Linked DNA regions of Oryzias latipes. The protein of the gene in region 7 interacts with the protein of the main gene of each other region in a pairwise test. Links are inferred from orthologs where the notes say so. Each region holds a gene or a part of one and is shown on either strand. Other genes may lie near its edges.

The links.
Region 1: the proteins of wdyhv1 (region 7) and asl interact in binary tests that used the Homo sapiens proteins (3 or more experiments, as listed by UniProt). The two-hybrid records come from large-scale screens. The link is inferred for Oryzias latipes from reciprocal best matches to the Homo sapiens genes NTAQ1 and ASL.
Region 2: the proteins of wdyhv1 (region 7) and coil interact in binary tests that used the Homo sapiens proteins (3 or more experiments, as listed by UniProt). The link is inferred for Oryzias latipes from reciprocal best matches to the Homo sapiens genes NTAQ1 and COIL.
Region 3: the proteins of wdyhv1 (region 7) and E3 ubiquitin-protein ligase XIAP interact in binary tests that used the Homo sapiens proteins (3 or more experiments, as listed by UniProt). The two-hybrid records come from large-scale screens. The link is inferred for Oryzias latipes from reciprocal best matches to the Homo sapiens genes NTAQ1 and XIAP.
Region 4: the proteins of wdyhv1 (region 7) and mif interact in binary tests that used the Homo sapiens proteins (3 or more experiments, as listed by UniProt). The two-hybrid records come from large-scale screens. The link is inferred for Oryzias latipes from reciprocal best matches to the Homo sapiens genes NTAQ1 and MIF.
Region 5: the proteins of wdyhv1 (region 7) and klhl12 interact in binary tests that used the Homo sapiens proteins (3 or more experiments, as listed by UniProt). The two-hybrid records come from large-scale screens. The link is inferred for Oryzias latipes from reciprocal best matches to the Homo sapiens genes NTAQ1 and KLHL12.
Region 6: the proteins of wdyhv1 (region 7) and actin, cytoplasmic 2 interact in binary tests that used the Homo sapiens proteins (3 or more experiments, as listed by UniProt). The two-hybrid records come from large-scale screens. The link is inferred for Oryzias latipes from reciprocal best matches to the Homo sapiens genes NTAQ1 and ACTG1.

What each region holds. Positions count from the first base shown.
Region 1 is NC_019872.2:8,458,415-8,462,453, reverse strand, and holds the start of asl (argininosuccinate lyase), read right to left. Parts: upstream 2,801-4,039; 5' UTR 2,658-2,800; coding exon 2,643-2,657; intron 2,421-2,642; coding exon 2,226-2,420; intron 660-2,225; coding exon 576-659; intron 362-575; coding exon 305-361; intron 200-304; coding exon 102-199; intron 9-101; coding exon 1-8.
Region 2 is NC_019866.2:24,978,630-24,982,739, reverse strand, and holds the start of coil (coilin), read right to left. Parts: upstream 2,801-4,110; 5' UTR 2,661-2,800; coding exon 2,410-2,660; intron 1,168-2,409; coding exon 327-1,167; intron 254-326; coding exon 164-253; intron 1-163. Other genes in the region: scpep1 (retinoid-inducible serine carboxypeptidase), read left to right, coding at 3,549-3,606, 3,787-3,917. UniProt on the Homo sapiens protein: Component of nuclear coiled bodies, also known as Cajal bodies or CBs, which are involved in the modification and assembly of nucleoplasmic snRNPs.
Region 3 is NC_019868.2:22,022,659-22,026,901, reverse strand, and holds the start of E3 ubiquitin-protein ligase XIAP, read right to left. Parts: upstream 2,801-4,243; 5' UTR 2,650-2,800; intron 1,064-2,649; 5' UTR 1,031-1,063; coding exon 788-1,030; intron 690-787; coding exon 119-689; intron 9-118; coding exon 1-8.
Region 4 is NC_019868.2:14,250,741-14,254,907, reverse strand, and holds mif (macrophage migration inhibitory factor), read right to left. Parts: upstream 2,801-4,167; 5' UTR 2,717-2,800; coding exon 2,609-2,716; intron 805-2,608; coding exon 632-804; intron 542-631; coding exon 475-541; 3' UTR 284-474; downstream 1-283.
Region 5 is NC_019865.2:21,840,052-21,844,150, forward strand, and holds the start of klhl12 (kelch-like protein 12), read right to left. Parts: upstream 2,801-4,099; 5' UTR 2,449-2,800; intron 2,350-2,448; 5' UTR 2,293-2,349; coding exon 2,235-2,292; intron 1,036-2,234; coding exon 809-1,035; intron 396-808; coding exon 242-395; intron 1-241. Other genes in the region: ptpn1 (tyrosine-protein phosphatase non-receptor type 1), read left to right, coding at 3,180-3,236, 3,783-3,873. UniProt on the Homo sapiens protein: Substrate-specific adapter of a BCR (BTB-CUL3-RBX1) E3 ubiquitin ligase complex that acts as a negative regulator of Wnt signaling pathway and ER-Golgi transport.
Region 6 is NC_019859.2:22,455,868-22,459,971, reverse strand, and holds the start of actin, cytoplasmic 2, read left to right. Parts: upstream 1-1,304; 5' UTR 1,305-1,429; intron 1,430-2,248; 5' UTR 2,249-2,251; coding exon 2,252-2,374; intron 2,375-2,458; coding exon 2,459-2,698; intron 2,699-3,124; coding exon 3,125-3,371; intron 3,372-3,454; coding exon 3,455-3,646; intron 3,647-3,735; coding exon 3,736-3,917; intron 3,918-4,022; coding exon 4,023-4,104. UniProt on the Homo sapiens protein: Actins are highly conserved proteins that are involved in various types of cell motility and are ubiquitously expressed in all eukaryotic cells.
Region 7 is NC_019869.2:4,812,114-4,816,336, forward strand, and holds the start of wdyhv1 (protein N-terminal glutamine amidohydrolase), read right to left. Parts: upstream 2,801-4,223; 5' UTR 2,754-2,800; coding exon 2,680-2,753; intron 2,383-2,679; coding exon 2,283-2,382; intron 1-2,282. UniProt on the Homo sapiens protein: Mediates the side-chain deamidation of N-terminal glutamine residues to glutamate, an important step in N-end rule pathway of protein degradation.

The DNA.
Region 1 (4,039 bases), on a different chromosome or scaffold from region 7:
CGATTTCCCTGTGATGGAACCAGGAAATGCAGGTTAACACCAACAGTTTCAGTAATAATATACAGAAGATGAGTTTCCATTTGCGAGTCGGTCTTAGTTACACGGATGCCCGCTCCACCATGGTCGAGATGAGCTGGAGAGAATTTTCTGTCAGGGTGGTGATGGCGTCTCGCATCCAGAGTCTCATATCAGTCACCACCTGGTCCACCAGAACACAAAGTGCAACTCTAAAGCTTTTCTATGAATTTATATGCTAAACAAACCTAAAAGGTACAATAAAAACATGAATAAACTAAAATAAAACCTGATCATTTCTGCTTCTGCCTGTGTGAAGTTTTCCTGCAGGGGCACCAATGAGCTCCTGAAAAAAAAGGGCAACAGCATAATTAATATTGTACACATTTCATAAAGCAAACGTCATAAAGTAACGTTTACATTGAAAACATGGGTTTTTAGTTTAACAAACATCCAGACTTTCGCTTAGACATTAGTGGAGTAACTCACAGCAGGCTGTGTAAAAGCTCAATGGCAGATGTGTGTGAACAGGATGTATGCAATGGACAGCTGCACATCACCTTCAACCGGCGTTCATTGGCAGTGTGAATGTCTTCATCTCCAGGTCTAATGACAAAGTTACCTTTAGACCACTCCTCTGAAATCTGCAGGGGGGGGGGGAAACATCAAAGATGGTCACTTTAAGTGGACTTTAACACAAAGCCTGTAATCAAAAAACAAATGTTTGGGTTTGAAGGGAAACAGTCTATGGAACTGTTCACTTGTCCAAACAGAACAGTAGGATGGAGATGACATGTTCAAACCTGCCCTGAATAAAACTGAAGCTGCAGCTGTCACATGATGACAGTATTGTCCACAACACACCCAGCAGAATGCAGGAATGCTACAACAGGGCATTTTTTACTGCGGTCATCTCCTAACCACCTGAGAGTATGCAGTGATGCACTAAACCAGTGTTTTTCAACCTGTGAGCCGTGAGAGATGGTTTTAACACAAAGCCTGGAAAAAACAAATGTTTGTGTTTAAAAGTTGAAGGGAAACAGTGTACTGAACTGCTGACTTGTAAAACAGAACAGTAGGCTGGAGAGGACATGTTGAAACCTGCCCTGGTTGAATCTGAAGGTGCTGCTGTCATAACGACACTCAGCAGAATGCAGGAATGCTACACCACGGCATTTTGACAGCTGTCATTGCCTAACCACCAGAGTATGCAGCGATGCACTAATGCACCTCATTTGAGTAATAAATGTGACAAACACAGGGAAATAACAATTCATTTTAACAACTATTTAATTCATATCATAATGTGCAATTGACGATACGATTCATAGTTAATATCGGTTCATTTTGAACAATCCAATTCACTGACCTAAAATCAATCTAGGGACGTCTTTAGCCAAAGATTCAACCAGTGGGACTCTGAGAAATAACTGGGTACTGAACAGTGCAGGTGAAGATTTCCAGATTTAGTGAATTTCTTACAAGATAATCAAGTCTAAATTAAATATGTGAACTAACAGACAGATAAACACATTAATCAATTCACATTTTAGTTTCACAAAGTCACTGTTGTTTTTCCACATGATAAAGTCATGATACCACACTGTATGGTCACATGTCTCACATGTCTCACTGTTTTCACACATTGGACTGGAATGATAGCTTGATCATTTTTTGATGTGTTGACCAGTGTAATGACAGTCATTTTACCTTAAAGTAAAAATAAACCTACCACGCCTCAGTCCAAATGTTACTCTCCAAGATCGATTAAAAATCTGTTTATTTCATTTCGAAATTATTTTTAACGTAAAGTCGATTTGATTAATAAGTTAATTAAGATAGATCAATCTGGCTGGATAAAATGACAAATCGGTTAATTGTTAGTAAACTAAAGAAATTGCCAGAATGTCATCCAAATAGGTCCTGTTTTCACACCGAGTAGGTGGATATAAAAAAAGACTGATTTATTTCTGTTTATTTGATTCTTATTCAAGACGCTTTGACAAAACATAACTTTGATTTTATTTCATTTTTACATATTTAATTGGTAATGTGCCTTGTGATTTTTATCAAGGAAAAAGTGCCCTGTCTGGCTCAAAGAGAGAGAATAACGCTGCACTACAACCACAACTGAATGAATGAATGAATGAATCCTCAGGACCGGTTGATTCAGTGATGGAGCCAGCAGCAACAACAACAGACTACTTCACCTGATCCATCCCACGTAAGATCTGCTCCTTTTCCTCACTGCTGACCAGCTGCGCTTTTTCCAGCGCTTTGACATAAGCTTTGCTTCCTCTGATATCTGCGTCCCACATCCTCTGATCGTAACCGATGGAAGCGTTGAACTTCTCCATGATTGGGTCCGTGTCTCCAACGAAACGGCCTCCCCAAAGTTTGTTTCCCTTCAAGACAAACGCGACAAATTAACACAATGACTGCACACTAAACCCGTTCATGTTACTTTAGGCGGTTAATTCTTAGCCACAGAAACGGATTTCGGCAAAGGAGAACCAGGTTGATCGTTTGTTATGTTAGCAAACAGCTGAGCTGCTGGTTAAACAGCAATGAACATACGGGAAATGTAAAATAAAAAAGGAAGATATAACGTTTTCAATTGCACCTACCTCACTATTGGACATTTTATAAATCGGCAGGTGTCCTGTTGTAGAGGAAAGTAAACAGTCAAAACTGTAGCGTCAGCAGTGCGAACAACCAGGGTTAACTGAGGCTACAAGCGTCTCTTTGAGGAGCGCCTCGAGTCGAGGACACGTAAATCTTCCTCTGTTGCTATGCAGAATGTCGTCACAAATCAGGGCATGTGTTTCCGGTTTAACCAAAATAAATTTTCTTAAAATTATTATTATTATTATTATTATTATTATTATTATTATTATTATTATTATTATTATTATTATTATTATCGTTGTTGTTGCTTGACTATTGTCGTCTTCTATTATCAGTTTGCATCAGTTTTTTATTTGGTTATTGATAAGTAAAATCCTTTTCTTGAATACATGTCATATACTTTATTTTTTTAAAGATTTAGTTTTTATTAAAATAGATTTGAATTAAAAATGAACACATTTACCAAACCTCAGCTCATTTTTCATACAGTGTTTAGACAGACTTCTTCAAACTCCAAATACTTTGTTTTTTAATGGATTAGACAAATAACATCTTTGACAGTAAAATCTAAATATTGGTGAAGGTTGACATCTATATAAAAAAAAACGCCCTTCTCACCCTCCGCGGGTGGTTTATCCTCCAAGCTCGGGTCCTCTGCCAGAGGCCTGGGAGCTTGAGGGTCCTGCAGTATCTTAGCTGTTCCTAGCACTGTGCTTTTCTGGACTGAGAGGTCTGAGGTCTTTCCAGGTATCTGTTGTAGCTACTCCTCCAGCTTGGGGGTTACTGCCCCGAGTGCTCCAATTACTACAGGCACCACTGTCACCTTCACTTTCCATGCTTTCTCCAGTTCTTCTCTGAGTCCCTGGTATTTCTCCAGTTTCTCAGGTTCCTTCTTCCTGATGTTCCCATCGCTTGGTACTGCCACATCCACCCCAACGGCTTTCCTCTGTTCTTTATCCACCACTACAATGTCTGGTTGGTTCGCCGTTACCATCCTATCAGTCTGGACCTGGAAGTCCCACAGGATCTTTGCCCTCTCATTCTCTACCACCTTCGGAGGTGTTTCCCATTTTGACCTTGGGGTTTCCAGTTCATATTCTGCACACATGTTCCTGTATATTATTACCTGCAGGAATAATAAGATGGCCAAAGGAAGAGATACAGACCACGGATGTTAAATCACGAAAGCTCCTCACCATGCTTGGAGGGTTCCATCCCAAATCCAGCACCCTGTGACTGTATGCTAGCCGAGGAGGCCGAAGACTAGTGAGTGTAGAAGCCAATATCCAGGATGAAACATCCAAGATGCATGAGTACATCAAGCTCAAGGCCCCAACTGACAGTGTGCTCAGTGAATGTCTCAGGCAATGGAGAGCAGAGGATACAGTGCTGGAGG
Region 2 (4,110 bases), on a different chromosome or scaffold from region 7:
GAGCAGCTGAAGCTGGAGCTGCTGTTCTCCACTCTGGTAAATTCTGTCATCAGTTGTCAGATTTCTGGACGTTTGAGGTTTAAACTTTTGTTTGGGATGTTTCTAAATCCAAGCGGAGCCCCTCAGCAGTCAGATGTTTGTGACGTTGGAGGACGGACCTCACCTTGAAAGCGATCCTTTGCCCCGGCTGTGCAGGAGCGGCCAGCAGGGGCATGGAGCTGTAGTCCCGTGTGGGGGGGCCCCCGGCTCCATTCTGCAGACACACAAGCACCAGATTCAGACGTTTCCTCCGTCTGCAGCGTAAGAGAAAAGGGGCGGGGACTGACCTGGAGGAGCGGTGGCGTGTTGGTCGGGGAACGCGCCTGGAGGGGGGGCTCTTTGTCACTGTTCTGACCGCTGAGGCCCCGGCCTGCTGCCCCCCCAGCACCTCCACGCGCCCCCCTGCCGCCGCCGCGCCGTGACCAGAGGCCGTCCGCGTGTCTGTTAGGCTGCTGCGGCCGTCGGATGACCAGCTGGATCTCTTCCTCACTCCCAGCATCAGCAGGCTCCGCCCCTTTGTCCTGAGGGGGGGCTGCCTGGACCACATCTGTCTGTTTCAGCGCTGACGGAGCTTCTGGGCATTTGGGGGTGGGGGTACTTCCATCAGAGTCTGTTTCTGAGGACGATGAAGAGGGAGGCCGTGTGTTCTTCTGGGGGGGCTTGGTGTTTGGGGGCGTTTTGGAAGCAGCAGGGGTGGGGGGCGCCGTCCTTGCGGCAGTTCTTTTGGGGCAGTTGCTTTCCTCGCTGCTGGACTCTGTGGAGGAACTCTGCGTTTTGGCTGGGGCCTTCTTCTTGTTGCTTCCAGCTGATGGGGGGGCACTGGGCGGGTTTTTTCTGGGGGGGGCAGCAGGTGTAGGAGCAACAGTGTTACTTTTCTCCCCCTCCTTTTTCCTTTTCTTCTTGCTGCTCCTCCCCGGAGACGCCTCCCTCCTGTCAACCGTCTCCTGCTTGCTCCTTCCGGCCTCCCCCTCCTCTCGTTTCTTCTTCTTCTTCTTCTTCTTCTTCTTCTTGTTTTCAGCCAGCTGCCCCTCCTCCCCCCCGTCTCTCCGTCTCTTTTTGCTTTTGACTCCTTCTGCGTCTGCGCAGCTGCTGCAGCCGTTCAGCGCAGCCACACAGTCCACATTCACCCTGCAGAACAAGAAACATTTCTGCATGAAACGCATCCAGAACCGACCCGTTCTACAATGTAAACCCCCCCCCCCAAACCCACGCTGAAGAGAGCGTTCATAGTCAGAGGAAGAAGAAAGGCTCGAGCTTCATCTCAGACCGCACAGGCCTCAGGCAGTAATAGAAAAATGGCCTCCGTGGTGTCTGTGTGTACATTTCCCCAAACTGCATCTTGATCAACCAAGGCCCATTAGAACCATTGACTGATTCTTTAGAATTGGACCGAGCCAGTGTGACGTCATCCATTGAAAACGACTTCCAGCTCCAACCAAATGAAGTCAGTGCAGTCCCCATTCTTGTTGTTGCTAAACGAACACCGCCATGTTGGAGCCAGACAACATCAAGAAGCAGTGATTGGTCAGTCCGAGTCAATGTTTCTATGGCAACCAGTATCACCAATCAGGAGTGAGCTTGTTAGAGGTCCACACCCCTTCCACTTGAGAGCGGGCTCTGGAAAACGTGTCAATCAAATGTTTTGACCATTTGATGTGGGTGGCAAGGAGGCTCCGCCTACCTTTGTTGAAGCATCTGATTGGTCAGTTTAGAACTTGATTTACAGAAAAATATATCATGAATAAAAGAGGATTAACAAAAACATGTTTAAATAAAAGTATCAGATCCAGAATGTTTTTACTGACCAATAGAATGAATGACTAACAGCTGTTTATTTCTCAAGTCTGTGGGATTTTAGTTTCTGAGAGCCACTTCCTGTTTGGAATGCCAGGGGGCGGGGCCACTCAGTCCAGTTCTCATATTCAGTCAATGGTTCTGATCCTCCACCTGCAGACCGACAGATCCATGAAGGTCTTTGTTTTCCTGGTCTGAGCTGGAATCTGGGTCAGAACTGGACGGACGGATGGATCTGATGTTGCTGCTGTTTTGGTTGCACCGCTAACGTTGGGTTGGGGCTGTAAGCTAGTGGGAGAGAGTGTAAACTAGGGGATGATGGGACATCAGTGGAGGGTTACTTCTGCGCCACAGTCCCGCCCACAAGTCAGAGGTGAATTTCTGATGAACTTTTTGAAATAATTTGTCTAAAAACATTAAGATCACTGGGAACACTTTGAAAACAGACTAAAATGATCGGATTGGGCCTTAAGTCCTTCAGGTCCGGATATCTGTGGTGTCAGCCTGCAGGCTCGAACCGTTTCGGAAACGACACCGGCACATCAGGACCCCGCTGTGTGTGGGATGCGCGCGCACCTGACGCTGTCGTTGTCGCGCACGACGAAGATGCTCTCCGTGTGCGGAAGGTAGCAGTCCTCCACGAACAGGCTGAGGACGCTCCCGCGGCTGAACTCGAACTTCTGCCGGATCAGACCCTCCAGGTCCGCCACCACGCGACACGCGTTCCGGTCCACGAGCAGCCAGCACATGCGGCACCCCGCCACGGCCGGAGGGGGGTAGTCAAAGAGCAGCCGCAGGCGGATCAAGCTGTCTCCGAGCGCCGCCATGACACCCTCCGCGACAACACGCCGCCCCGCGCATGCGCAGAGGATAAAGCGCTGCTTTTGTCACGACACTGCCCTCTGCCGGTCCGGAGTGTATCCCATCTGCCTTTTCACTCGTTTAAAATTAAAACAGCATCCCATAATAATTCACGGGGCTCTTTAGGGAGATTTACAAGGATTTTTAACTGTTCTGTTCAGAGTTTGGACAAGGAGGCCTGGATCTCAATAATTCTTCATCCAGGTCAAAGACCCACTCAGGATAAAATCGTGTTGTTGTTTTTTTAGCATGTTCTTTTAGCCTTTCTCTCATGATGGAGGGCATCATGAGGATCACCAGGATTCAATCGTGGCAAATCAGGCGCAGATTTCTAAAATGCTGTTTGAAAACATTTGGTCCCTCCTTTGTTCAGACTCTTGTGATAGTGGAATTGTCCAAGGGGTTTTGGATTGATGAAGCACAAAGAGTTATTTTCACTGAAAGTAAGGAGCCAAGCCTTAAGCCTAGCTTCTGAAACTATACATAAACCCACACCATGATCCTCCCACCACCAAACCTTACTGTTAGCACAATGTAGACAGACAGAGACACTTTACAGCACTAGGTGATGGATAACTGACTGCAGATGGTTGCCGTGGAAACCATGGTCCGTGACCTCAGTGACCTTCGGGGAATTTTGGAATGAAAAAAAAAATCTCACAATGAGAAAAATTCTTTTAAAATTTTGATGTTTCAGAAACTTAGGATCTTCTTTTTTTCTGTCTGTTTTCTTGTTTTTAAAAAACTCAAAAAATCGGAGTCAGCCGATCAGCTGACTCCTGGGCGTGGTCATGTGACTTTTGGTCACGTGACTCGTCATCGGTGAAGTCCCTCTCCGCCAGTTTGCAGCAAAAATGTGCGGCTCCGTGGTGCTTTTCTGGCTCTGCGCGTCCGCTGTGCTCGTCCGTGATGGTGAGTTCCGTGGGTCGAGCAGAACTTCTTCATCACTTCTTCTCCCGCCTCCAGATCCTTTCATCTCTGGACTTGTCCTCGCTTCAGTAAATCCGATGACTGTCAAACGAAAGTAACCTCGGTTTCTGTCGGTGTGCGCATGCTCGTCAGGGTATTTGCTTCTCACCTGTCTGTCCGCAGGGCTGTGCGCGCCCCCGCCACCCAAAGAGGCGTGGAACTACGTGGAGGTGAGGGACGGGGCCCACATGTTCTGGTGGCTCTATCACGCCGACGCTGGGTTCCGGGAGCTCCCGCTGGTCATGTGGCTGCAGGTGCGTGCGTGTGCGTGCGTGTCTGAAGCTGACACGAGCAGAGATGACCTGAGCTCAAGGGTCTTGATCTGTGGGCTGAAGCTGTTCTGCTGGTGATGAAGATGAGAGGAGGGAAACATTTCCATCAGCACTTTGAATCTACAAGGAAGTGCATGAACTAAAATAGAGAAAAGTAGAATCCATGGAGGATCTA
Region 3 (4,243 bases), on a different chromosome or scaffold from region 7:
TCCTTCTCCTAGAATAATAATAAAAAAATATTATGAACAAACATTTAGATTTAGAAAAATTAAAATATTACCGGTACATCTCATTTGTAAAGGGGATGTTTGAACAAACATGCTTTACCTTTGCTGTAGAAGCCAGCTTTAGCAAGCAGCTCGTGGTCAATCGGGTGCTGGACGCGTGCAAAAGTGCCGAGTCGCTCGTCAAGATTTTCCAAATTGACAGGTGTGCGATGTTGGTTTCTGCTGCCAGTCTCTTCATTTTCTCCTCCATCTCTTTCCAGAGGCACATTTCCCACGTCATGACCAAGGATGTAGAAGCAGTGGGAAAAATGTTTTTCATGCTCGTTCCAGGGGGTGTCCCCAGGTTTCCAGCCACTTAGCTTGCCTCCACAACTGAAACACTCCACTTTATCCTCCTTTCCTAAGTAGAACAAACCTGCCTGAGCCAAATCTCGAGGTCTGACTGGAGCAGAACGCGGCCACGAAGAGAAAGTTTCCAGGCGGGCTTCTTCGCTTTTCATATTCCGGTTCCGTGGATATGGAGTCTCATCAACAATGGCTCTTGTTCTCAACTGGTAATCTATATATCCTTCAGTTCCATCATGAAGGCCCCCATTGCTGAGGGGCATATGGGGATTTGACTTAAAACGGTTGAAGTGTGTGCAGCGGAGAAACGTGCACGATGGGGAAACCTGCATGGAAGGAAAATGTTGAACTTTATTATTTAAAAAGTTGAAAAAGAATTGCCCAACATTTCTAAACTATTTTTTTTTTCAACATAAACAATTACCTGTATGTGTCTGTCCACTGGTTGATCTTCCTGGGACCAGTTTTCTACCGTTTTCTGGCAACTGAAGCAGCGTACGCGGTCAGAGACTCCAGTGAAGAGGAAGCCAGCTTCAGCCAGTTGCAGCGGTGACACCTTCTTGCTCCAGCTGGAGTTGTAGAAAGATTCCAGACGATTGTTTATCTTAGAGTAATCAATTGTGGAGTCCGATTCCCAATTCCCATCTTGGCTGGGGTCACACATCATTGAAACAAGTAGCTGTGGCGGTAAACACAAAATCTAAAAGAAAAGAAACATGAAAAAGGTTTGAGTTAGAAGTGTAGAACCTTGAATAATAGATCATGGGGGAATCTCTTTTTTTTTACTTAAAGACCTACTCCGATCATCTTTTGAGCCATTTTTAAAGTGTTCCCAGGGGTCTTCTAATTACCACTATGCCATTTTTGTCCAAAAAAGTGCCCAGATTTTTCTGCAGAGCAGCAGTAGATCATTAGAAATTCGCCTCTGAGTTGTTGGCTGGACTGTTGGCATGGAGCAACGCCGCTTCTCTCCATGTTGCCGAGGGCTCTCTGTTGCCATGTTCTCCTGCTAGCTTCAGTCCTCCTCAGTCATTCAGATTTGTCAAAAATATAAAGTATTCTGGAAGTTAACCAGCTTCCCTATCTTTATGTCCACCTTTGACATCACATCGTGCTAATAAACATTGCATCAGCACGCCTGTGTTTCATGCAATTCTTATTCATGACACATACTAAAGGTGTGATGACTTTTATTCAAGCCTAGTCACCTCCCAGAGGAAATTATTTGTCAAAAACAGAAAGTAGAAGTCAAATATCTTTCAGTTGGACATTTTTTGAGAGTGTGTGTAGATAGAATGGTATGGAATGTCCATTCCATTCATAGTCATAATCTGTCCACATAGCTAGGCTCTTTAAAGTTCTTTTAAGCCGGTAACTCAGGAAACCAGATGGATATCAGTTGAAAAAATGAATGTTTTAGTGAAGGCACAAGGGATGGGCACGAGGGCGGCTCCTGTAGTTAACTTATATGCCAAAGGGTGTAGCAGATGTACTGTTCACCATTCTTAAAGAGCTAATCAGATCATTGATTCATCAAAACACAATGTTGGAACACTGTTAATAGGTTTCAGCGATCTGCCACATATGTTTGTTAGATTATCCAGAAATGTACTAGCAGCACAGTCAAAAACAATCACTGTTTTCTACAGGAGGTTGAGACTCTTGTGTGATATTGTTGCCACACATTAGGACAGTCATATGCTGCATTACTCCTTCTGACAAACACGCTGTACGTGGAACTATTTGGTGCACATTTAGCTGTGACATGGGATTTTATCTGCTGGTGGTGGAGGACTGCATGTGATCTTTGCACTGTCACGTTTTTCTGCCTCAGTGATCAAGTGATCAAATCAAAAGCTAACGGCCATATTTACTACAGTAAATATGCTGTCGCAAAGACAGTTTTGCTGTCTTTGCGACAGCAAAACTGAAATTAACATCTCTAACCGCCCAGTGAGCGACAAATGCGTATGCCGTCATTGTTGTGTTTCTACGAACTATCAACTGCATACTTTGCTCTGTTCACAAAGATTCCACCCACATCATTTAAAGGGCTACACATCACGGATTAAAAATTAATATAAAAGAAAAAAGACAACTGCTGGTGTTTTACAGTGGATAAAGGAATCTTACATAAGGAGTCAAATTATTATTTAAAAGTGCGTACCTTTGCTGTAACTATAGTTTGTTTACATTTCATGTAACATTTGACTAGCTAGCTAGTTAGCCTTGTTCGCTAAGCGCGCGATTACTTTACCAGCGGCTCTAAAAACATAAAATACTTGCATTTCTTTGCTCGTGTAGGGAGGTCTTCGGTTCGTGGTTTGAAAAGGTCCTTGATGAGATCGCCCTGTGAAGGAAATCGGCGTAGAAGAATTCCTTTGGCGTGACCTCCCAAAGTCAGGAAGTAAGAACAGCGTAGTCTTTGACAATGCGCATGCGCATCGTCGATTACGCAAAGAAAGTGGGGGTTCAATGAGAAGATTCCAGAGGTTCTGTTTCAGTTTCGTTATGGAAAAAAATATAAAACATTGTCACTTAAACAGAAAAATTTCAACATGCTTAACAGCTCAAGCCCGAAGATGTTATTGCTAAAGAAAGATATGTTTTTGTAACTTATGCAGTATGTGTTGAAACGTAGATTTGAAAAAAAAAAGAGAGAGAAAAAAAACCACGCAGTCCCGAAAAGCGACTTTTAAGCAAATCTCTAGGTTTTTTTTTTCTTCCCAGGGGGGGTTTCCCTTACAAATATGCTGTTTAAAATCAGTAAAATACACTGTCGACAAAAGAAACTAAATGAGTAAAAAACATTTATAAATGTGTCCCTTATGTCTCAAAGCAAATGCGACATTTATATGATTAATTTATTCAAATTTAGCTTTTTTTCTGTTTTTCAACGTTTGGAGCAAGAATACAAAATGCCACATATTTTGAAGTGGGTTTTAGTCTATGCTTTTATTATGAAGGATGCAGTTTTCTTTAAGATCACACTTTAACTTCTGAAAAGTTGGTGGGACAGTGGTTCAAATTTCAGTGTGTTCTGAGTCATTTTAAGTTCAGCCGGCTGTGAGGCTGCCCTGTCAGACACGCAGCATCCAAACTATACAACTTTAGATATATTTACATTTGGTCACATGAAATAAAAAATAAAACATTTTAAACAGCTTCCAAAACATAACCAATGTGGAATAGGGGAATAGTATTAGGCAGAAGTCATAAATAGGGTTTTAATAAACATCCATTTGTTCAAACAAATCTTCAGTGACATTTCTTTGGTTAAAAAAAATACAGAAAAGTACAGGTAAACCACTAGAAAAAAAGTTGAAGCCACCAAACACAATTTGATGAATTCACTTCAAGAAGCAGTGAAAAAGGGAAAGTACGAAGTTTCTGTGCAGTTTGGTAAGAAACCCCCATGCTGAGTGAGACTTGCTGTTTAGGTGACAAGGCAAGCATCCAACTTCCCCTTATTTGATGTGGGTTAATGGGGAATTACATGGTATAAATTAAACACTCTTTTCACACCCCCGCAAGTTTCTCACCCAAGCTTGGGTCCTCTACTAGAGGCCTGGGAGCTTGAGGGTTCTGTGCAGTATCTTTCCTAGGACTGAACCTTTCTGGACTGAGATGTTTCTCCAGGGATCTGCTTTAGCCACTCTTCTGGTCATTTCTAACATTACAGCCACTCCTCCACCTTAGGGGTTACTGTCCTGAGTGATCGGATAACCACAGGCACCACCGTCAAATTAACCTTAAAGCTTTCTCCAGTTCTTCCAGACTTTCCTCTTTTCTTTGTCCACCTCTACAGTGTCTGGTTGGTTCTCCATGACCATCTTGTCAGTTTGGATCTGGGAGTCCCACAGGATCTTAGCTCTCTCAT
Region 4 (4,167 bases), on a different chromosome or scaffold from region 7:
TTCTTATAGCCTGTGACAAATGACAGGCAAAAAACAAAAAGGTTTACAAGTTTAGAACAATTTCCCAGATGTATATATTTTTGCACCATTTCGTGCTGGATTGTGGTACTTTGTTTATCAAATTAAAGTGGATTGAGGTACAACAAAAGCTGTTACATTTAACCAAAAATTATATTAATTCTGCAAAGAAATGTTCCTTATATAAACATCTTTTTTGTTATGCTTTCACCAAAACGATGTACAGTAGAAACCAGAATGATGTCTTAAAAAAAGAAAACAACACTTTATTATTCTGTAACAGTGTTTGCTTTATTGCATTTAGAGAAGACAGTGAAATCAGTGCAATGCAAAAATTGATGTAATTAAATTGCAAAGTTGTTCCTAAAGTGCTTCATCACGTAAGCATAATTAACTTCTCCCCTAAACAAAGGAAATTTCTGGAATGAACTTAAGTATCTGACAGTATCTTCCATCTTAGCCAAATGTAGTGTTGTTCCAGCCCACATTGGCTGCATCCATGTCAACAAAGTTAACATAGATCCTGAAAACAAAAAAAAAAGACCAAACGGAGACAAGTCAATAGGGGCCCCATCTTAGTGTTTATTAACTTCCGCTTGGACTCACACCTCACCTGTCTTGACAGATGCCCAGGTGTTTGTTGAGCAGGCCACACAGCAGTTTGGAGTATTGCTTGTTGTGAGCCCCGCTGATCTTGCCGATGCTGTGGAGGGAGCAGAGCGCGCAGGGGTCTCCCTTCCCTCCGAACATCATCATCTGGTCGGGGTTGATCAGCACTGCAATGTACTGAAGGCACAACAACAACACGCGTGAACGCGGGAGAAGCAGGCAGTAGCGGTTTTAGGCACGGGCCATACGGGCGATCGCCCAGGGCGGAAAAATGACGGAGGGGCGGCGCCAGCGGCTCAGCCCTTGTAAAATACTTTGTGCAGCACTATTGGTTTTTTTATATCACAGAGTTTGTAACAGCCTGAAACCTGGTGGCGCCCCCGCCCCGCCCTGCGCTCCCTCCTGTCTTTGAGAAGTAGACGCAAATGTGTGTGAGAAGGAGAAGGGAGGGGGCGCGGGGTGAAGAAGGAGAAGGGAGGGGGCGCGGGGTGAAGGGTGCAGGTTGAGAGGCGAGCACGGAGCGCAAAACGCATGCGCAAACCTGGCTGGATCTTCTTCCAGGGGGGCGACGGTCACAGGCCAGGGCTCAGTGCTTGATGAAAAAATAAAAACTGCGCCGCCATGTAGCGAATTGGAGCCCCTGAGTGCAGCTGCACGCGCTCCCGCTGTAAATGTGTGACGAGGGGGGGGGGGCGCTTCGGGTATAAAAAAGGTATAAAAAAATCATGTTTTTTTGGTTATTTTTGTGTGAAATGCCCAAATAAAAAATAGGAAAACAAAACAATGTTTTCACTAAGGTGACAGTTGGTTTAGTCGACAGACTTGATGCCTTTGTGAGGACATTTATGCTAAATGCAAAAACATCAGAAATATGAAGAAAAAAGGTCAAAGCTGGTGCCCAATTTAGAAAGAAAAGAAAAGAAGAAGAGGAGAAAAGAGACAAAGAAAAGGGTATTATCGCATAGCTAGATGCACGTTTTCTAAATTCGAATGCTATCTGCCCTCCAACAACAACAACGTTGCAGAGGAAAAATCTCTTGTTTGGTCTATCATGACCAAAACTGAAGTAGGCCCAAATATTGTAAATAACGTCATTTTTAAGATTTTCTTCTTAAATGTTTGCTCTGTCTTAACTTGTAACATTAGTTATGATTCGTGTGTCTGTCTGCTCTGCTTATCACAAAGTTTTTGTTGTGTTTTACTGTTGTATATTAGTTCATAATGTTAAATAAGCTGTGATGGTAGCATGCGGCTGCTGCTGCAGCTGCAGTTAGCTTTTCAAAACTCCAGTTGATCAAGTCATACCTGAGATCACCAATGTCTCAGGAGCGACTCACTAACCTGCCGTTGTTAATATCAATCATGCAGGGGGGGGGGAGCAGATTTCATATGATGACGTTATTGACAAGCTTGCATAAAGGAAGGCCACAAAGGTTAGGTTTTAGTTAGTGTTGTCTGTTCTTAGTGCTGCAGTTACATTTATTCTAGTGTGTTATTAGTGTGATTTGTAGTTTATAATATTTATTTTAGATTATTTATTTGTGTTTGATTAAATATTTCCTAACTGTATTTTTGCCATGCTGATAGTCTTTTAATTTTTATGTTCCGATAACTGTTATAATGCAGTGCAGAATTCTGATAAACATCTTTTTTTTTATATCAATTTCTTAGCTTCAGTTACAATAAATGGACAAAGTGACTCTATTGGGGGGGCGCCAGAGGAGGGTCTCGCCCGGGGAGTAATTCAGGGTAGAACCGCCACTGGAAGCAGGCCACCCGAACACTCAACCTTACCATCCTCATCACTCTCAGAAAGGTGAAGACAACGTTTAGATTATTCAAAGTTCTCCAAAATAATTCTAAAACGTCACTGACTGATACACACGCACAGTCCAGATCATGAGTGTGAAACTGACTGGGTGGGTCGGGTGCAGTAGCAGGCAGCGATCTCTTCTCTGCCGCGGGGGTGTCCATAGATTACCTGGGCGGGCTTCCCCATCGCCTTGGCCAGTTCCTCCGTAGCCTCAGACAGCAGGGCCGCCGGTACGTCGCTTTTAGCCACGTTGGTGTTCACTACAAACATCGGCATGATGACAACTTTCTGCAATCCTCACACTGATCGACTTTACTCTCACGAGGAAACACTCTTCTTCTCTTATAGTGTTCTCACAAGAAGGCAGAAAAGGAAAACAGCGCCTCCTTCTGTTCTGAAAGTAAACTGCGCTTTCTTACTTTTCCTTTATTTTTCTGCTCGAAATTTTGTTGGTAAAGTCTGAAAAAAAACACACAAATGTAACATGTTGGTCTGGTATTTATTTTAAATTTGATGCAGAAAGGTGTTCTTCCCATTATTTCTTTCAGGTTAAAACACGCTGTCTTTTTTATTACAAGACAATAAAGATGACAGAATAAATTTACTTAATTTCATTTCAGCTAAACATCATGTTCATAAATTTAAATGTACTAACGAAAAACCTTTCTTGCCCATTTTTATCTGTGAATTTATATATATTTGCCCCTTTGTTCAGTTTTCTCTGTGTTACAATACAATTACACATTGAATGTACTGATTGTCAAGAGTGTTAATAGATTTTTCGCTTTGTTCTATTTTTTAAAAGTTGGCAAAAATGGCTATTTAGTGATTAACTTTTATTTGTAAACCTTTGTTTTGGTTTTTATATTTTATACAGCCTTGTATTTGATTTTACTGGATTACTGACCATTTCGGTTTATAACAAAATATTTTTGATTATTAAGCTCTTAATGGTCTTGTAAAGCCTGTTTAACAGATATTGCTACAGTTTGCATCTGGTTGATGTGCCCGGGTCACATTATGAAGGGGTGACCATGTAGGCCCATTTTCTATTGCCAGACCTGAGCTGTGTAAAATATCTGTGCAATATATTAACTTTCAATTCAAATCTCATCTTAAGATATAGTAGCTTTCAATATTAATTATTTTTCTGTGTGTGATTTATTTCATTTTTAAGGTACATGCCTTATTAATAATAATAATAATAATACATTTTATTTAAAAGCGCCTTTCAAAACACCCAAGGTCACTGTACAAAGTTAGAGGTAAAACACAATAAAATCACAAGTTAAAAACAATAAATAAATTGGATTCATTAATAAAATCAGCTGACAGAAAATGAGAAACTGTGTTCCGGAAATGCAAGCTTGAACAGAAAGGTTTTGAGTCTGGATTGGAAGATCAGAAAGGAGTCAGTGTTACGTAGGTCTGGGGGGAGAGAGTTCCAGAGTTGGGGAGCAGAGCGACTGAAGGCACGGCTCCCCATGGTGACCATACGGGCCGGAGGGACAGAGAGCTGAAGGGAGGAAGAAGATCGAAGAGAGCGAGAGGGAGTGTTAACATGGAGGAGATTAGAGAGATAGGAGGGAGCCAGGCTATGGAGGGCTTTGAAAGTGTAGAGAAGGAGCTTGAACTTAATCCTAAAGGCTACTGGAAGCCAGTGCAACTGCTGGAGAACGGGAGTGATGTGATGGAAGGAGGGGGTTCTGGTGATGATGCGGGCAGCT
Region 5 (4,099 bases), on a different chromosome or scaffold from region 7:
AAAAGTGAATGTGTCTTATACCTCTAACCCCAATAATGTTTTTAACAACATTTATTAACTTTCTGTGTGTCCTCCATCTCTTTTTCTTGTATTTTATCAGTAACAGCTCCTAGCAAGTAGAGCCAGCCTCAGCTATTTTATTTCATGTCTGTTGCATTAGACAGACGATAAATATGTCACTATAAAGCCTGTTCTCTGGAGAATCTTTATATTTAGCCATTAGAACAGGCATTAAAATTACCTTTCAGCTGAAGCAAACAGGCTGCAGGGAGTAATTCTTGAACATTTTCCACCGTGACAAGCACCGTTTCTGTGTAGACGAAGTCCAACAAGATCTCCATGGTAGATGCAGTCAGTCCTTGAATGTCAACAAAAGACTTCCCCTTTTCTGCAAGCTGGAGGACCAAAACAAAGGCTTAACTGGATGATTTTTTTTATCTTTAAGCTGTAATCCTGTACTTTATGGAACACATAACAGATGTGGGGCTAAAAGGGCAAAAACTAAGAAAAAAAAGTCACTTTAGAAAGTAATATACTACTTTGAAAAGTTTTATTGTAGTTTATCTATATTCAGAAAAATGTTTCTCATATTTCTGAGACTGCCCTCAAGTGGCAGGAGCATGCTACAGTATCTTTATCACATTGAATCAAACTCTTTTTGTTTAGTTTAACATTTTTTTTAAGCAACATTACTCAAAACTCTGAAACACATCAGTTTAATCAGTATAATGACATAAGAAGTACATTTGACACAGATGGTGAAAAACAGGGATTGATGATCAGACTGATGAAGATGACAGACTATTACCTCACTAGTAAACATGGCACAGAAATAGTCACTGCAGGCTGCCAAGACAATCCGATGGGCGGGAAAATCTGTATTCTCAACCCTCAGAGTGATGTCGCAGAGTGTGTTACTCTTGCGAAGCGAGTTCATGGCATTGAGAATGGATTTGGCGTGGGAATTGGTCATGATGTCTTTAGGAGCCATGTTGCTTTGAGAATCCCTCAAGGACCTCAAACTTCCACAAGAGTCTAAAGGAATAAATACAGAAAATCTCTGTGAATACGGCATCTCATTGAACATTCTCTTTTAACAATGTGCTCCTGCAGCCTTAAAAGACATACAAAAACAACTGACACAAACAAAACTGCTTTAATCAACGTGTCTTTGACAAATTGGCCGTTTTATTATTTTAAATATAAACGTTACAAACATTCGAAATATAAAATGTTAGTGGCTTAAAGGGACAAAGATGATCACTGTTCAGACCAGGAGTCTGCAAACCTTAATGCTAAATAAGTCATTTAGTCCAGTTCTTACCAACCAAAAACCACAGAGAGCCGCAAAGTCCCACTTCATTGTTTAGAAACACTTACTTAGGTTTTTGTGGTCATTAAGCTGTTTATTTATAAAAAATAATTTTTCAGTAACAATTTTACTTCTATTACTTTTAACAGCATCACATTCAAGTCTCTTTCAAAATAAAGTACACCCTAAGTTAAAAAAAAAAGATCCTCCTGCTGCAGCAGGTTTACTTGGATCAAAAATGCATTATGTCAAATTTGACATCTGACTTTAGTGCACCATAATCCTTTTTCCTCTTTTATCATTGAGTATCAACATGACAACATTGGTGTAAAATCCCTTTTTTAATGCATACATACACGTGAATCCAATCATATACTTTAAAGACTGTATGAACAGCTACTTGCAGCAGTAGATAATAGGTGCTTTGATCTAAATTTAGTAATAAACCACTCTGACACTAGGATTTGGTAAGTTACTTGACATGTTAAAAGTTTAAACATAAGACTTAAATAACTAAATCCAATGAGTGAAACTACAAACCCATCTTTTAATGGTTAGCATTTTCTTATAAACCACGATAGAAGGATTAAAAAAAGGGCTTAGGAGTATGATGAATGAGGCTGAAGACAAAAAAACAGAGAACCAAGGAGAACAAACGTACAGTAAACACTATCAAGCACTTTCATTCATTTTTGAGGCAAGCAATTGTCTATATTTAGTCGGCCGCGGCAGACTAGCTAATTTATATTAGTATACAACTGCAGTGTCATATAAAAATCAAGAACAAAAAACATTTTTATTCACTGCAGTTTTTCCCACAATACCCGATAACAAAAGACCTTCCCCGGTTTATAACCACGATATTAATGTTAAATATGATCCCTATTAACACTGTGACTTTAGTATTGCTAAAACAACTTACCGTTAAAGGACCTGAACACTTTTTCCACCACTGGGAGGCAATAACTATAGCTACACATGGGCTAGCTAGCAGCAGTAGCCAGCGACAGCTGATGGCTAACATAGACAGACAGAAACTTTGGAAAAGAGAGCCACATGAAGTACACTGACGGCCAGAGTGAGACAGCACATAAAAGCGACACACAGTAAGAACTTCGAAAAATTGTGCGTAATACCTGTCACTGCGGTAAGGCTGATTCAACCCCTACACCTAAGTTGCTTTCCTAGCTACTGTACTAGCCTTAGCATCAAAGTCTGTCGTCCCAGCTCGTGCTGTCCGAAAAATAAATAATTACTCCATCACGGCATGATTTAAGTCAGCCTACATGCGGCTTCTGGAAGGACTTTCATGAACGAAATGTTAAAAAAGCCCCATGCTATGGCGCTAAGCGGTGTTTACAAGCAACACTTTCGTTGCTCAAACTGAAGCTTCGACCCCCTCAGATTGGACGTAAACAGACCGCTACGTAAATGTACGTGCGCGCTCCCCGTCAAGCCGGACGCTCTTCTTTCCAGAAACAAGATGCCTTCGGCGCGCACTCGCCTGTCTGTGTTACTCCTGTGGGGGTGGTAAAATGACCGCTTAAAAAGGGGAAAGAGTTGCATTAAAAGTTAAAAATCGAGTTACATCGCCAAAACAGCCAAAAGCAGTTGTTTTACTGGAGCCTAAAAACTCACTTTACTCTTTTTTAGCCACCAAGGACGTCAGCTACACGGTAGGAGGAGCTAGCAGCGTGTTTCCGCTCAGCCGCGGTATAATCTATGCAGCCGTACTAAGAATCGCAACGGCCAAACACTTGGCAGCTAATACAGGAAACTGTTCAAGTTTCATTCGTTTAATCTTCGCTGTGTTGTCGCTGTCGCATCATTGAGGAGAACAAAAAGACTGTCCGCTGGATCGTAAGCAATGGAAGCCGAATTTTTAGAAATCGATGAAAACGGGAGTTGGAACGCCATTTATCAGGTAGGAACTCTCGACATGTCAAGGTGGAAAGCAGCAATGGGTGAAGCTGTCACTTTTTGAGCCAACATTTTTCTCACTTTCGCCACGATACATGAGCAGAGTCGTACAGTTCAGTCCCCGTGTTTCTCCGTATATTTTTTTTAACTAACCGCCGGCTTTGTTCCCTGTGTGGCCGGTCCATGTTTTTTTTTCTTTCTTTTTTTTCCGCTTGGTGCTCGGACCTTTTTTTTGTTGATGGATGTGTCTGCCCGGGTCCTAAACCGGCAGCACGTCCCATGAGGCAATTCAACACATGTCATTTTAAAGCTTTAAATTATTTTTGCACCATAGCTGTTAAGTTTATGACACTTTCAGCGTTTAAAAAAGCATTTCTCAGAAAAAAATTATTCACATTATTATTTGAGAAGGATTGATAACTGTTATATGACATATTATTGATCGTTTTTTCGGAGTATTCACACACTTATGCAGTTATAAAGGACAAAAATGGCACCATTAACATTTTGACAATGTTAAACAAATGTGATTGTTTTTTTATCTTAACAGGAGATTCGGCAACAATCGTGTGAACTTCCCTGTAAGATCGCCAAGTTACCCGAAAACAAGAATCGGAACCGTTACAGAGATGTCAGCCCCTGTAAGTAACGCCTCACACATCACAACATTACAGAGTTTTTAGATGTTTCATTTAGGGGTATGTAATTTAATCTACAGCCAATATCAAATACTATAATGTTATGTATAGCAGTGTTTATCAACACATCCATCTATTTAGTCAGTGGTTGCATCATTGGTAATAATGGCTGCATTCACCAGCTAATATAAAAGTAACTGATTGAACAAAATGTTTACCTTAGCTTCTG
Region 6 (4,104 bases), on a different chromosome or scaffold from region 7:
GACATCCTCCGATATCTCCTTTTATGGATGTCATCCAAAGGAACTCTTAAAGGGATGGATAGCCTGCTCTGGCGCTATAATTGGTGCTTGTCTTTCTAAAACAGGATAATGCCACTCAGAAAAGCCAATTCCCTGATCAGCTCATCACTCCAACTCAACCCCCCCACTACCACCACACCATATGTGTCTTTAGCTGCAAACACTTCCTGTGTGCATCTACAAAAAATAAAGCACCATAAAATGTGACTTCCCTTCCCTGCTGGAGAGCAGGCTCCCAAATATCCATATTAGGAGCACAGGGAGCAAATCTCAGAGTCACTAGTACTATTGGTCCTGTGCCCTAATTGAGTTAAAACGCCACCCTGACTAAGCCACTCTTTGTCTTGTCTGCTTACAACATAAGCTTCTAAAGACAGATTTGCATCGCAAAGCTGAATACTACATTCCACCCACCATTTCAGGTTAAAATGCCAACAGGTGCTGCGTAATTCTGTGCACTCAAGTGAGTCATAGCAGGTTGCATATTTTTCATTCAAAGGCGAACACATCACGAAACTGATGAGTGCAAAAGAGGGATTAACAGATTCTCCGTTTTGCTGTAAACCAAAATCAACTTGGACACGCGTATCTTTGTCACTCTGATATATGTGCTTACGTGTAAGTGAGACCGGTACGCAGGAGCACATATTGTGCAGGGTGTTAACACTACTGTCAGTGACCCTGAAACTGTAACCAGTCCAAGGCTGCCAAATACACGTGTCTGTGATCGGTGGGAAAAATTGGATGTTCAAAGATTGACACAATTCAGTTATATAAAAAAAAGTTCCTAAATTGTTACGTTTTTTTTTTGAAGATCTGGTTAAGAAAAAAACAAGTGGACAAGCAAAATTATAGGATTACCTTAGCCAAATTACAGGGTAGATGATAAGGAGTAAACATATGATTGCATGTTTTTAATTTAACTGGACTTATCCCTAATGTGAGAACAACACAACAGAAAAACATGTTTTTAAGCTGATTCTCAAGAACCATGTTAGCAGTTGTAATTGCTGGGTTTTAAGTCACTCATTCAAAAACAATAATAAAAAAAATAAGAACAAAAACAAACCACTTAAAAAAAAACACAGTGACCAATGACCCCTGACACTTAACCCTCAAAATATAGGGGTTACTTTTCACGGTCCTTGTCCCCCGCGTGCCAGGGTGCACGGCAGCTATCTGCATGAGCCACACCCAGTGGATGCGGCGGAGCCAATCAGAGGACGCCGTGCGGAAAGTTCTCCTTTTATGGAGAGGGGCTGCAGCACGAGCTCACATATAAGCCCGCACTTCACAGGCCTTCATTGCAGTGTAGCTCAAACACTAAACTCCGCAGGAGTGTTGCCTTCCGGCGAGAGTCTTCACAAGTCGTGAACCCCCATTCATACAGGTAAGAGGCAACTTTTGACTTTTTGTTTTCTTGCTTATAAAATTTACGCCCTATTCGATACGTTAAAGACCTAAATGTTTAAAGTCGGCGACTTCTGTCTGGCGATAGCAAATTAAAATGTTATGTCGCTGTGTCAATGAATGACAAACTGCTGTCATGTCTGCTTCTCCGTCGTAAATATCCCTGTGTTTGATGCTATTATCATTCCGCTCGTATATTTAACTAGCCGCGTTGACAAGTTTGACCTTCTCCTGCATGCCAGCATCCACAAGGTTTGCGGTTCTTCTGACGTCTCGGGTTTCGGCCCGACGATGAAGGACTTTACATTTGCTTCATTCTAAAGTATTATTTTATACATTAAGCCTTTATTTTATTTTTAATCAGCAAGTCCGTTGAGCTTTAAAAAAACGTTGTGTTTTTCTGTAGTTTTTCTGCCTTCGCTGCACTTGCTGGGATGACTTTGCTTATTTGACGGGTTTAAAGCTGTAGTTCTGGAAAACAATCAAACATTTATGACAGTGATGCGATGTGCTGAGGGCAAAAAAGATTGGTAAGGATGTTTGAAGGGGGTGGCCGTCTGTCGGTGTCATCCGAACCTGTTTGGGACACGGGGTGGTTTCTGGACCGGTCTGCTGCTGCCGGTGAGGCTGCTCTCACTTTTGCCTTATATGGCCATGGTCAGACGGGCTAGAAACCCCTTTTGTTTCAAAGCCCTGCATTTTTAAACTCGAAACGACACCACAGCGACACCCAGCGTCCAGACCCTGAAACAGGACTGTCCAGTGGTAGATGCTGAGTTTCTGATTTTTCTTTCTGCAGAAAATGGAAGAAGAAATTGCTGCCCTCGTTATTGACAATGGATCTGGTATGTGCAAAGCTGGGTTTGCTGGGGATGACGCTCCTCGTGCCGTCTTCCCCTCCATCGTTGGCCGCCCCCGGCATCAGGTACAGCCTTTTTTTTTTACCTGCAGCATAACCCAAAGCCAGAGAGTTTTTGTTTGGGGCTAACTTTAAACTTTGCCTTCCAAGGGTGTGATGGTTGGTATGGGCCAGAAAGACAGCTATGTTGGTGATGAAGCACAGAGCAAAAGAGGAATCCTTACCCTCAAATACCCCATTGAGCATGGTATTGTAACCAACTGGGACGACATGGAGAAGATCTGGCATCACACCTTCTACAATGAGCTCAGAGTTGCCCCTGAGGAGCATCCAGTCCTGCTGACTGAGGCCCCCCTAAACCCAAAGGCTAACAGAGAAAAGATGACGCAGGTGAGGATCCTGAAACTGTTTTCTGAATTGCGTTGCCAGCTCATTTGCAGCTTCCATTCAGAAGCTGTTTCAATCTTTTCATTTTTCATGCTCCATATCATTTCCTCCTGCTCCTCCTTATACTCCAGGACTCTTCTCTCCTGAGCTGATCTCTTTACCTCTGCGGATGTTTTAAGGTTTTGATCTTCCTGCACTGCATCAGGAATGACTCTTTGCAGCATGGGCACAAACTTTTCTGATCTATCAACTGATGTGCTTGTCAACAAATTTAAACAATCACTTTATATTGCTGTGTTCTGCATAACTGTGTGGCTGTGCTCAAGTAATCTTAACTTGTATTGAATTCAGCTGGTGTGGTGGTTATAGTGATCTTAACAATAACTGGTGTGATTCACTGACCTAAGGTCTCCACTGCTCTTCTTCTAGATCATGTTTGAGACCTTCAACACTCCTGCCATGTACGTGGCCATCCAGGCTGTGCTCTCCCTGTACGCCTCTGGACGCACCACCGGAATCGTCATGGATTCTGGTGACGGTGTGACCCACACAGTACCCATCTATGAAGGCTACGCTCTGCCCCATGCCATTCTGAGGCTGGACCTGGCTGGGAGAGACCTCACAGACTACCTCATGAAAATCCTGACTGAGAGGGGTTACAGCTTCACTACCACAGGTGGGCCCTGTTTTACATTTGAGCAATAGGATGTGGAGAGTTGAAAACTAAATATAAACTGCTTTCTTCTGTCTGTTTTACAGCTGAGCGTGAGATTGTGCGTGACATTAAGGAGAAGTTGTGTTATGTTGCACTGGACTTTGAGCAGGAGATGGGAACTGCTGCATCTTCATCCTCACTAGAGAAGAGCTACGAACTGCCAGACGGCCAGGTCATCACTATTGGAAACGAGCGGTTCCGTTGTCCAGAGGCGCTCTTCCAGCCTTCTTTCCTTGGTAAACCTTACATCCTCATGCAATATGGGTTGAATATTGGCACATCTGATGTTGAAAAGTGACGGCTGTATTTTAACTCTCATGCACAGGTATGGAGTCTTGTGGTATCCATGAAACTACCTTTAACAGCATCATGAAGTGTGATGTTGATATCCGTAAGGACTTGTATGCCAACACTGTGCTGTCTGGCGGTACCACCATGTACCCTGGCATTGCTGACCGCATGCAGAAAGAGATCACTGCCTTGGCCCCCACTACAATGAAGATTAAGGTATGGAGACTTGAGTTTGCGCACAAAGTCTAAAGTGCTCCATCTAAAGCACTTCAGTGTTTTTTTTCACTACTGTACTTGCTAACTCCTCATTTATGCTTTTAGATTATCGCACCTCCAGAGAGGAAGTACTCTGTATGGATTGGCGGCTCCATCCTGGCTTCCCTGTCAACCTTCCAACAGATGT
Region 7 (4,223 bases):
ACCTCAAAACAGATTAAGCAGATTTAGAAAATTTATGGATAAATGACAGTGTGATGGCTTTTTTGTACATTTGGGTTTTCTCTCTCTATTTTCTTTTATATTTTCTGCTGGAGTGGGAGGTTTTCTGTCTTCCTTCTCCTCTGCCAGCTTTGATTGCACATTTGTGCCTAATTGTCCAGAGCACCAGACTGGGCAAGGATCTCCAGGGCAGAACATACATACAGGCTTTGTTCTTTGTACAGTATTTTCCACACTACAGGGCTCACCGGATTATCAAGCACAACATCAATGAATGGTCTATTTTGAGCATATGTCACATATAGAGCACACCGAACTACAAGGCAGATTAAGTGAGATTAAAGAGTCAGAGAAATGTCCGTCAGTCAGTCACGTTACTTTGCTTGCAGCACGTGGACAAAACAGACTGATAGCGCTAAAACAAACGTTACCGTGACTACGCTATCACACAACCTTTTTGGTAACCAAAAAAACAGTCCAACATCGCCACACATTAGCCGCGTGAGGGTATTCACAATAACACCCAACCTTGTTTGCAGCATAACTAATTAATAGATAGGGTGATCATGATTTTAAGACAAACTGTTGCTTTTTAAATAAAAAAATTAAGGGTTTTAAGTGTGCTTTATACTGCAAATATACAGTAATTTGGTTGTTTTTTTATTAAATAGTATTTCTTTTTCCTAAAATGGGGTGTAACATAAATTGGGGGCTTGTCCGGGATTTCTTTGGTTTTTGTAATGTACTGTGTGTAGTGGCCAGTTTTAGGGATTGCCTATTTGTTTGATGAACTTCTTTGTTTGGTTTGATTGACCGTTTTAGTGAGACGCTTTCACAACATTTGAGCGTTATATATTGGGTGCTCCCAAATTCGAAGTCTGCGTCCTTCAATGGCCGCAGTCTTCCCTGGCGATGTTACTCGGGTCCTTTGTTGAGCGGGTAGGTCAGATGTTAATGGCTGTGAATTTGGACGAGTCTAGCCTTTAGATAATTCCAGCCATTACATCAGTGAATGTCCTGTTGCCTAGCAACCGTGAGTCCCGAACAGGGAGGAGGAGTGAACCAGGCATGGAGCCATTGTTGTCAGAAAATATCCGGGTTCTACTGCTATGCATCTTGGGATATGGACAGCATAGAAGGGTACACCAGAGCAATCCTTGAAATCGGGTAAAAAGAAGGCTGTATTCGGTGGCCATATTTAAAGGACTTGTTGAATTTGGACAACATGTTACGTAAGCAGCCTTCAGATGCAGCCCAGGAAGAACACAGCCCTCCAATTTGGACACAATTAATGGAGTACAGTAAACCCTTGTTTTTCGCGGGGGTTACGTTCCAAAAAGAACCCGTGATAGGCAAAATCCGTGAAGTAGAAACCTTTTTTTTTAACAATTATTATACAATTAAATTCTCTATTATACATTGAAAAGAAAGAACAAACCGTTTTACAGGCTAAGGAATTGTTTCACAAATAAAAGTACTTTAGAAAAGGTTTTTCAACAAATATCTTCTGTATTGTACTGTCAAATAAGAATTTTAATCATCAATGTGAACAGAAGGCTTCAAATCGCGGAGATTAGCCCCGCCCACCGCGACCCGAGTATTTGGATTAAACGGGAAGATATTTAAAATGATTTTTAAAAAAATACAAAGTACGGTCAGACAAATAGTGACTCAGGTGTAATTCACTGCTCTTGAGCCGCTGCATCCTGACTCCGCTCTGCAGTCTCCCTTTGAAGCCCGCGGTGCAGCTGTGTTTGTTCGGGAGAAGAACATAGTGATAGGCAGTTGTTGTTGTCGCTCCTTTTTTTCATGGGTTATAGAGAAACTCGAAATTGCAAGATGATTTGCACGTATCTGTTGTAAATTTGGCACGCTGATTTACGTACGTGTACATATTAAACTGCAATGTTATTGACGCACAGGTAGAGAAGTGAAGTGACTTTTTAGCCAATCAGAATGCAGAACACAATGCACGATGCAAATCCGTGAAGTAGCGAAACCGTGAAAAGTAAACCGTGTTATAGCGAGGGATCACTGTAGCTGTATTTTGAAACTACCAGATGTTTTGCAAAAAGGATTTTTCTTTTTACAGAGAAGGCCTGTTATTTACTTTCAAATATTTCTTGAGACCACCTGAACCCTTGAGGGCTCGGTGCCCATCATTCTCAGTATGAGGTACTTTTTGAAATATTATTTTTAAAGCAAACATTTTGTTTATTCGATTGTCTTGTTAAGCCGTTTAAAATGTTTCCAGATCTTCTTACCGTTCTGGTGTCGTTAGAGATGAAAATTACAGCAAACTGGTCCAGTGGAACCATTTTCTGTGCTTGAATAAACTCACAGAGCTTCCAAACATTTTCCTCACTGAGAAAGTAAAGGAAAGCAGCATTAGCCACTCATTCACTTGATTAAAATGAACTATATTTCCCTGAAAATTCATTCAATCATTAATTAGACAGATGGCATTGAAATAACTCATTCACTATAACAGTTTTAAAAATGGGTATAACATTTAACAATGTAAACTGTGAATATCGATTAGCCGAGCGGATCCGCTTAGCATTTTGATGTTTTTCTTGACAATAAATGATTTATTGACACAAAACTAAAGACTGCAGGACAGTGGGCTGCTTTTCTGATTTGTTAAAACTTGGTTTTTACCAATAACAGCTGGTATAAACGCAGTTTTCCCGGCTTGGTATTACTTCCACACCTTTCTTTAACTGACCCTTCATGTCTGTAAGCTAACCGGAAAGAACCTCACCGAAAATACAGTACGTCACATCCGTCCTTTCAAACTAAAAGCCCATTCCTGTAGCGTTGATTTCACCAACTTTTTATTTTATTTTATTCTTATTGAACTTCAAAGGATGACACGTACACATTCACATAACTACAATAGAAAGATATAAAAAGAAAAAAGAATACAATACAAAGAAAAAATAAATAAATAACATTAGAATTGTAGCTCACACTAGGTATGGTCATACAACATGTGATCTTCAATGAAAATTGACAGTTTTATTGCATTTCTGTTTTTCTTGAATTCCAAGGATTTAAAATGTAAACAGATCTCTTTATGAAATGTATTGAATAATGATTTGATTTTAAAAAAATCTGCTCTCATTGATGAAGAATTTCCCAGAATTTAATAAAGTATCAAATGCCAAATCAAATAAATTATCACCAGAAAGTACTCACAACTGTAACGGAATAGAAATAGGAAAAGGAAACTTTGAGGAGCACCAACAAACACAATACTCCCAAAAACTGGTAACATATGTACATTCAAAAAACAGATGATCAAGTGATTTTATATTTATTAACAGTTATTTTCTTGAAAACCAAAACGTAAATGTAGCAGTTCCTTGCATGGGTATACTGCATTCATTGTTTAAAATGGGTTTCTTTGTATTTTGGAAAAATTGGGTTTTTAAAAAACTTTTTTGTGTAATGCTGGGACATAGAATGAGTTTTGTAGAATGTTGGAAACAGTTCTCCAACAAACAAAGAACGTATTACATAAGTTTGGAAGTTTTGAATTAACCAGTCGACAATCAAACAACAAAGATGGAAGCAGGAATTTTGCAGTCTTTGATTTTGGAAATGAATCTTTTTGAATTGAGTGGCAACTCAAACACCTCATCTAACACAGTATGTTAGGGAAGTTAGGGTCATGCTGCTGAAGGAAGCGACACACTGGAAGGTACTAAAAAAAGTGAGAGTGAGGCAGACAAAATTTGGAAGCAAGATCATTGAAGCTTGCAAATATACCGCTTAGGTACATGTCCTTAAAGTTGATTATACTGTACCTTAATCACTTCCCAAATCATGAATACGAAGTCTGTCTGACCAGGGAGAAAAAGGTGATTTTTGTGTATAGGACTAGTGGTAAGCACTTGAGTGAGTCCATACGTCTGTCTGAATTGAAACATAATTTTAAAGGTATTGGTAACTACTGGATTGTGTGTAATATAGTGTGAAATGACACAGGGGAGACTAGATCCAATTAGGGCTGTCAGAGTTTTTGTATTATAGGAGGAGGCTTCAAATCGATACCAGTTGATGTCATAAGCTTGGAGCCAATCTATCGTTTTTTGAACATTAGAGGCCCAGTAGTATTGGCACAGGTTTGGTAGGCCTAAGCCACCTTGATGCTTAGGTCTTTGTGATAATTTTAAACAGAGTCTTGGGGTCTTACCGCT